2 linked regions of the Oryctolagus cuniculus genome follow. The protein of the gene in region 2 interacts with the protein of the main gene of each other region in a pairwise test. Links are inferred from orthologs where the notes say so. Each region holds a gene or a part of one and is shown on either strand. Other genes may lie near its edges. The genes, in order: HMOX2 and CEP126.

The links.
Region 1: the proteins of CEP126 (region 2) and HMOX2 interact in a two-hybrid assay, tested with the Homo sapiens proteins (2 studies listed by BioGRID and IntAct). The link is inferred for Oryctolagus cuniculus from reciprocal best matches to the Homo sapiens genes CEP126 and HMOX2.

What each region holds. Positions count from the first base shown.
Region 1 is NC_091450.1:31,120,919-31,125,467, forward strand, and holds the start of HMOX2 (heme oxygenase 2), read right to left. Parts: upstream 3,010-4,549; 5' UTR 2,865-3,009; coding exon 2,838-2,864; intron 1-2,837.
Region 2 is NC_091432.1:93,341,340-93,345,705, forward strand, and holds the start of CEP126 (centrosomal protein of 126 kDa), read left to right. Parts: upstream 1-1,414; 5' UTR 1,415-1,700; coding exon 1,701-1,828; intron 1,829-4,366. UniProt on the Homo sapiens protein: Participates in cytokinesis. Necessary for microtubules and mitotic spindle organization. Involved in primary cilium formation.

The sequences.
Region 1 (4,549 bases), on a different chromosome or scaffold from region 2:
GAAGACCTCTCTCTCTGTCACTACCTCTCTCTGTAACTCTCTTTCAAATAAATAAAATAAATCTTTAAAAAATAGTAATTAAAAAATAAAAACAAGCCCTTTTCAATATCTCTAAATGGCAAGAATAAAGTCACTCTGATAGAATTCCTATTCCTCTAAGCAGACCAGACAACGCATTTGTTTTTTGTTGTTTTTATTTTTTAGTTATTTGAGAGGCAGAGAGACAGAGATCCCACCTGCTGGTTCACTCCCCAAAACATCCAGTAAAGATCTCTGTCTCTGTTTCTCTTTCAAGTAAAATGAAAATAAATAAAATCACAGTATCTGCTTAAAAGAAATATATCACCAAGCTCAGTACTGTGGCATAGAGGGTTAAACCACCACTTGTCACACCAGCATATCATGCTGGAGTGCCAGTTCTAGTTCTAATTCCTCTGCTTCTAATCCAACTTCCTGTCAATGCACCTGGGAAGGTAAGGGATAATAGCCCAAGTGCTTGGGCCTCTGCCACCCATGTAAGATACCCAGATGGAGTTCCTGGTTCTTGGCTTTGGTGTGGCCTAGCCCCAGCTGTTTCAGTCATCTGGGGAGTAAATGAGCAGATGGAAGACATCTCTGTCTCCATCTCTGTCTCTCCCTGTCTTTCTGCCTTTCAAATAAATAAATAAATCTTTTTTAAAAAATCATATTATGGGGCTGGTGCTTAGCACAGCAGGTTAAAGTCCTGGCCTGAAACGCTGGCATCCCATATGGGTGCCAGTTCTAGTCCCAGCTGCTCCTCCTCCAATCCAGCTCTCTGAAGTGGCCTGGGAAAGCAACAGAAGATGGTCCAAGTCCTTGGGTCCCTGCACCCACATGGAAACCCGTAAGAAGCTCCTGGCTCCCGGCTTTGGATTGACTCAGATCTGGCTGTTGAGGCCATCTGGGGAATGAACCAGCAGATGGAAGACCTCTCTCCCTGTCTCCACCTCACTCTGTAACTCTTTCTTTTATTTATTTATTTATTTTTTTGACAGACAGAGTGGACAGTGAGAGAGAGAGACAGACAGACAGAAAGGTCTTCCTTTGCCGTTGGTTCACCCTCCAATGGCCACCCCGGCCGGCGCGCTGCAGCCGGCGCACCACGCTGATCCAATGGCAGGAGCCAGGTACTTATCCTGGTCTCCCATGGGGTGCAGGGCCCAAGCACTTGGGCCATCCTCCACTGCACTCCCTGGCCACAGCAGAGAGCTGGCCTGGAAGAGGGGCAACCGGGACAGAATCCAGTGCCCCGACCGGGACTAGAACCTGGTGTGCCGGCGCCTCAAGGCGGAGGATTAGCTTAGTGAGCCGCAGCGCCGGCCTACTCTGTAACTCTTTCAAATAAATAAAATAAATCTTAAAAAAAGAAAATGTCTTCCAACTGTGTGTCTGCACTCTTAAAAAAAAAAATCATATTAAGAGGGGCCAGCGCTGTGGCGTAGCACGTAAAGCTGCCACCTGTGGTGCCGGCATCCCATATGGGCGCCGGTTCAAGTCTCGGCTGCTCCATTTCCGATCCAGCTCTCTGCTACGGCCTGGGAAAGCAGTAAAAGATGGCCCAAGTCCTTGGGCCCCTGCACCCACATGGGAGACCCAGAAGTTCCTAGTTCCTGGCTTCAGATCGGCGCAGCTCCGGCCGTTGTGGCCATCTGGGGAGTGAACCAGTGAATGAATGAAGGACCTGTCTCTCTCTGTCTCTCCTTTTCTCTCTAGGTAACTCTGACTTTCAAATAAATAAATAAATAAATCTTTTTAAAAAATCATCGTATTAGGCCGGCGCCGCGGCTCACTAGGCTAATCCTCCGCCTAGCGGCGCCGGCACACCGGGTTCTAGTCCCGGTCGGGGCGCCGGATTCTGTCCCGGTTGCCCCTCTTCCAGGCCAGCTCTCTGCTGTGGCCAGGGAGTGCAGTGGAGGATGGCCCAGGTGCTTGGGCCCTGCACCCCATGGGAGACCAGGAAAAGCACCTGGCTCCTGGCTCCTGCCATCGGATCAGCGCGGTGCGCCGGCCGCAGCGCGCCAGCCGCGGCGGCCATTGGAGGGTGAACCAACGGCAAAGGAAGACCTTTCTGTCTGTCTGTCTCTCTCTCTCACTGTCCACTCTGCCTGTCAAAAAAAAAAAAAAAATATCATCGTATTAAGAAGTGCATGTTGGGGCCGGCGTTGTGGTGTAGCAGGTAAAGCAGCCATCTGCAGTGCCGGCATCCCCTATGAGAGCCAGTTCGAGTCCCGGCTGTTCCTCTTCCGATCCAGCTCTTTACTATGGCCTGGGAAAGCAGTAGAAGACAGCCCAAGTACCTGGGCTCCTGCACCCAGGTGGGAGACCCAGAAGAAGCTTCTGGCTTCAGATTGGCACAGATCCAGCAGCTGTGGCCATCTTGGGGGTGAACCAATGGATGGAAGACCTCTCTCTCTCTCTCTCTATGATTGTGTGTGTTACTCTTTCAAATAAATAAATAAATCTTCCAAAAAAAAAAAAAAGAAATTCATGTTTGTTAAAAGTTGCCTAAGTACCAAAACAGTAAAATCTGTTCCTCAAGAACAGGCCTTTGTTGTTTTGAAATGCCTACCTGACAGTTCAGAATATTCCCCTGTCACATCTGAACATAGATGCAGTTGATTTAATGACCAAAAAAAGAGTTCATGGCTCCACTTTGGCCAGGATCACAATTTAGATGTGGTCCTCTGATACGCTGTGTGCAAAGGGATTCCCTTCACAACAGCTACATGCCATTACGTCATCTACACTAAAACTCAATAACCAACAATATTTTTTTAAAGATTTTCTTCATTTATTTGAGAGGTCGAGTTACATACAGTGAGAAGCAGAGAGAGGTCTTCCATCCGCTGGTTCACTCCCCAAATGGCTACAACAGCCGGAGCTGAGTCGATCCGAAGCCAGGAGCCAGGAGCTTCTTTTGGGTCTCCCACCTGGGTGCAGGGGCCCAGGTACTTGGGCTGTCTTCTACTGCTTTCCCAGGCCACAGCAGAGAGCTGGATCGGAAGAGGAGCAGCCAGGACTCGAACCGGCGCCCATATGGGATGTTGGCACCGCAGACGGGAAGATTAACCTACTGCACCACGGCACCGGCCCCAATAACCAACAATATCCTTAAATGGAAAGACAAGGTTTCTTGCAAAATAAAGTAAGTGACTGCCTAATCTACAAATACGTAGTACGTTTTGCAATACAGATTTGTAACGACGTTTACAAATGCGTAAACACTGCTTGGCCAGTACCATATGAAGTTTATTAGAAATTTTAAGAAAGAATTTCTGAGGAACTCAAATGCCTTTACTAGTTTACTTTAAAATACACGGCACAGGTACAGCAGGTAAAGCCGCCTCCTGCAGTGCCACCATCCCATATGGGCGCCAGTCCAAGACCCAACTGCTCAACTTACCATCCAGTTCCCTGCTACGGCCTAGGAGAGGAGTACAAGATGGCCCAAGTCCTTGGGTCCCTGCACCCATGTGGGAGACCTGGAAGAAGCCCCAGGCTCCTGACTTCGGATCGCCCAGCTCCAGCCACTGCAGCCATTTGGTGAGTGATCCAGCGGATAGAAGACCTCACTCTCACTCTCTCTGCCTCTCTGTAACTCTGCCTTTCAAATAAATAAATACATCTTCAAAAAAAAACGGGGGGGGGGGGGATACATGGTACAATAGGAGACAAAATCTGGCAAATTAATGGAGTACAGGAAAGCAAAATACATAGTTACAATATTAGAGAACATTCGAGTGGCCACCATACTAAAATTTCTTCTAGCACAAAAGAACCCAACCCAAGCAGTTAATTTAACTGTTAAATAAAAAGTTTGTCTCTCATTGCATGCAAGAATTGGCAATGGCACTGCTTTTCAGCAACATAAAAATATCCTAGTGGGTCAGCATTGTGGCAAAGTGGATTAAGCAGCCACTTTTTTTTTTTTTTTTTTTTTTTTTGACAGGCAGAGTGGACAGTGAGAGAGAGAGACAGAGAGAAAGGTCTTCCTTTGCCGTTGGTTCACCCTCCAATGGCCGCCGCGGCCGGCGCGCTGCAGCCGGTGCACTGCGCTGATCCAATGGCAGGGGCCAGGTACTTATCCTGGTCTCCCAGGCAGGTGCAGGGCCCAAGCACTTGGGCCATCCTCCACTGCACCCCCGGGCCATAGCAGAGAGCTGGCCTGGAAGAGGGGTAACCGGGACAGAATTCGGCGCCCCGACTGGGACTAGAACCTGGTGTGCCGGCGCCGCAAGGCAGAGGATTAGCCTAGTGAGCCGCGGCGCCGGCCTAAGCAGCCACTTTTAAAGCCAGCATCCCATATCAGAGTTCAGGTTCAAGTTCTGGATACTCCCCTTCCAATCCAGTTCCTGCTACTGTGCCTGAGAAGGCAGTGGAAGATGGTTTAAGTTTTTGGGTCCCTGCCACCCATGTGGAAGACCCAGATGAAGTTACTGGCTCCTGGCTTCAGCCTGGCCTAGACCTGGCTGATGCAGCCATTTAGAGAGTGAACCAGTGGATGGAAAATCTCTATCTATCTTTCAAA
Region 2 (4,366 bases):
CAATGAAAGCAAGCAATAAGGTAGCTAATAGTTACAAGATACCAACTAATAATATAGCAAAAACCAGATTTTCAGGAAAACGTAAATTGCCTAAAAACTCCAAACTGCAACCATGATTTTCTCATTTTATTTGCATTTTGCATTGCCCTACTTTGCCAACTCACAAATCCTGAGAGACAGAGTTGTGATATTAATAGCAGGAATAGAATCAAGGACAATGCCTGCAACTAGATCAATTTAAAACCTGCCATGATAGCGAATTGTCCAAGTGTACATGTTTAGTCTTTCTTTGTCAGGATTATATATTCTACCTTCTTGGTACAATCCTAAAAGGGACTTTTGTGTGTTTTGTGCTTAAAATCAAAATTGAATTTGTTGTGGGACTTTAAAATCTCAGTCCCCAGAACATATTCCAATTTGAGTCATTGCATCCAAGTTTACAAAAACTTGGTTCTAAGTAGTTTTAGCTGGAAAAGTTCATTAGTTCAACTCTAAAAATGAAAATATTATCGTCTCTTGGCCTTTTGGCTAAGATCATGTGTAGTATCTGCTCTTATCAGTTTAAAAATGAAATCATTGATTCACAAAGACAGAGAGAATGGTGGGTAAGTGATCTTTATTTGGTCTGTACATTCTGCTTCCAAACAGGAGTTTTCCATAAGAAAAAAAAAAGAACTAGATAAAAATACAATCAGAAGTGCTTTTATGTTGGACTCCAACAAAAAGTTTCAACCTTTTTCCAAATTTTCATTTATATAGCCTTTAAATTCATGGTTCAAAAATACATTTAACTTAACTCCTGGAACAATTTCAATACAATGGCTTAGTATATCCTCCCATGAAATTATGCGCTTAAGTCTGGACGCCTTTCCAGGCCGCCTTTGCTGTATTGGCCCATTCCCAGAGTCTGGCAGCAAGGCCAGAAATCTGAAATGTAGGCCTTCGAAGCAGGGCGATGGCCAGGAAAAGGACTACAGAGAGAATGGCAGAAGCATCATCGAGTGGGTGAAATGAGTGCAGGGAACGCAAACTTACACTGCACAAAGGCTTTTTTTTAAGAGATGATGTTTGGAAATAGTGATACCCCACACAGGATTCAGTAGTTAACAACAAACCCGACCCTTAATTAACCCAGAGATTTCAGAATCTGCCCTGCGGCAGATGCCTGGTCTACGGATTTTGCGTCCCAATGTCTTCCATCCCTCTCTATACTGCCACAAAAACAACCTCAAGAAACGGGAGGTAGAAGGCCCTGAGGCGCAACACAGTGGTTCTAGTGCAAACATGCGGCCCCAGGGGACGCCTCGGGTTCTACCCTAGGACCGCCAGGCCGCTGAAGGCTGGCGCGGCCGCTGGCGCCTCCTATTGGCTGCCTCGAGCGCGCGTTCCGCCCCGCGCCGCGCTCCGCCCTGGTGTCAGTTGCGAAGGACGCGGCGTCGGTTGGTTACCAAGATGGCGACGGCTGGGAGACTGCTGCCACCTTTGCTATTGCCAGGCAAGGTCTTCGCAGTTGCAGCAGCTGTCGCCACCACGGTCACGAGCGCCTCTGCGTGGGAGTCAGGGCTGCCGCGGCCAGTCTTTCGGCGCCCGTGACGCGGGGCTTGAGAGAAGGCTTGTGGGGAGGGGCCGAGGACGAGGAAGCCGGAGCTGCTATGAGGGAGGCGCTAGGGGCTGGCGAGGAGGTGGCGCTGAGGTGAAGGATGCTGACTGGGAGGCCGGGAGCCAGAAACGCGGTCCCAGGACTGGGCACTGACTCCTCCGACACCTGCGGCAGAGCGCCCCTCAGCCCCCAAGAGAGCGGCGGGCGTCACCGACCTGGCGCTTACCTGTATCCTTCCCAGCCTGTGGCTGCCGGGGTGGCGGTGTTGGCGACGAGGCAGGTGTTTTCCCCATAACTCCCCATGACCGCGGCCGCCAGGTGATGCAAATTAGCAAGTCATCTTAATGCGGGTGTTCTCATTGCCCCCACCTAATCCCGTTCTGCGCCCCCTTCCCCCTCCGCCCTGTTGTCCTACCCCATTCATCAACTTCTTTGTAAAATGTCGGGGATTTTTCAAATAGAGAAACCGTGTATTCTGTAGGAGTTATTTTTGCCTTCTAGAATGATGCCTTTATGTTCTTTACTTACATATTAATCACTTCTTGGTTAATCGTGCCACTTAGAGAAGTGGGAAAATAGAAGGAGGTTTTGCTGTCCTGAAGAATCCGTGAGAACAATTAACCTAGCACGTCTAGATCTGTTTAGCAGAGCTACTGAAGCCTAGCCCTGCTTGGTGATTTGTTTTGTTTTCTCCCTGTGCAGTCTGTTGTCACAGAGACAGCAGAGAAGAAATGAGAAGGAAGGGACCCGAGCTTCCCAAAACAGATTGCCTGGGACTTTTCCCTCATTTTTAGTTGAAGCCAACTTTGATGTTGCTGTTGGTTGCCTTGTAGATAAGCGAAAGAGTTTTGTTTACACAGTTTGCAAACCATGTTTATTCCTTCAGAGACTGTTGTGATGATTAGAATTTAACGTTTGAATTCTCCGGGGACTAGTTGGCAGGGATAATAGTGCCTAATCATCTTCATTCTTGTCTTCTCTTTCCAAAGTAACCTTTATTTTCTTATCCCTATTGTCTCCAACTTTTTCTGGGATGTCCTTTTAACTCTGTTGGAATTTTAACAGCATGTAAGCAATTTGTATTGATTATCTGCTTTTTGGCAGGCTCTGTTCTAGATTCTAGGGATATAAATTAATAAAAAAAGAGAGGTAGGTACAGAGTTTTACTAAGAGTAAAATATCCCTCTTCTGAGCATAATTTCCTGCACGTACGATCCCTTCTATTTCTTTGGTGAAGTTTCCAAAATTATATCCTGCAATAGCAGCTTCTACTTCCTCTCATCTGTTCATAAATAACTCCACTGAGTTTGACTTTTGCACTTGCTACTCTCAAAAATATACTCTGATATGAACTGGGTTATTTTTCTGTATTCATTTGACTTTGCCCTTGTGACATTGTATTTTCCTGGACACCAAACTCCTATTACACTGAACCTGATTTATCATGAAATCAACAGGGACATGGTAAACGGTTCGTGGACAAGGTGTTTCTACTATTGTCATTAATTAAATGATCAAAGATAAAATTGTATATGCAATGTAATACATACAAACACCACAGAAAATACTTGTAAATATAAGGGGACTACAGAAAGTTCCTGGAAAATCTGCTATCATTCACATAATAAATATGAGGTCTCTGCTAACATGACCCCAGCAGTAGATGCTCAGTGAATTTCAAGGCAACATGTTCTATACTTACCAGCATATTTATGACCCTTTATCTTTATGCACTAAAATAAATTATCTTTTAATTCTACTTTTTGACAAACTTTTTGAAGAACCCTCATGGAATTCAGCAGTACATCAAATGAACACACCAAATAGGCTTTATTCCAGAATTATAATGATGGTTTCCTAAAGAGAAATATATACTTTAAAATATAAAGACAAAATGTATTGTTAAGTTGTAAATTATCATTTCTTTTTTAGGTTTATTTATTTTAAATTTTTTTATTTAAGGTGACCATTTTTAATGTATTTATTGCAAGGTGTCTGGCGCTTAACAAATCTTCCCAGGCAGACGAATCGAATCATTAATTCACAGGCTTTTATTGGGATTCCGCTCCCAGGCGAGATTCCCCAGTCCCAACAGAGCGGGGGCGGGGAAGTCATGCATCAGAGGTTGGGAGGGCTCCTTTTATAGATTCAGGGCATGGGGGTTAAAGGTTGAGGCGGGTCTGAACCTCAATGGTTGACCTTTAGGCCCCCGCAGGGACCTTGACAAGAACTTTTCTTCCCCAGAAGTACAGGTAGGGACTTCTCCATTCCCAGAAGTGTAGGCCTTCCTTCCATGTGGATCCCAAAGCTACCATCCCGACCTTTTGATGATAGGAAAAGGGGTGACGATGAGTCTCTCTGGCTACTTCCTGCTGACTGGGGACATTGTCTACAGGGGCCCGCTGTGGGTATCTTGGGACTCCACAGGGACAGGCATGTATGGATGGAGAAGCATCTGGTTGACTGGTTGCTGAAGGCCTTGGTTCATTCCATTATCACCTGATGTAAACGCTTAAACAGACACTGTAGTATACAAGTCAAGGTGAGAATAACAACCAATGATCCTAAGAGTGGCATTAACCAGGTAATGAGAAGATTTCATAGAGGAGAGGAAATGAGGGGGGGGTCTCTGGACCCTTGTGAGGTTTGTTTGATGGACATGGTTTAAATCTAATCCCAGCCAAGACCAGGAGAAAGGCCACTCAACTTTTGCAGGTAGAGGGGTTTGTCTGTAGAGAAATTCTGAATAATCATACAACATTAAGT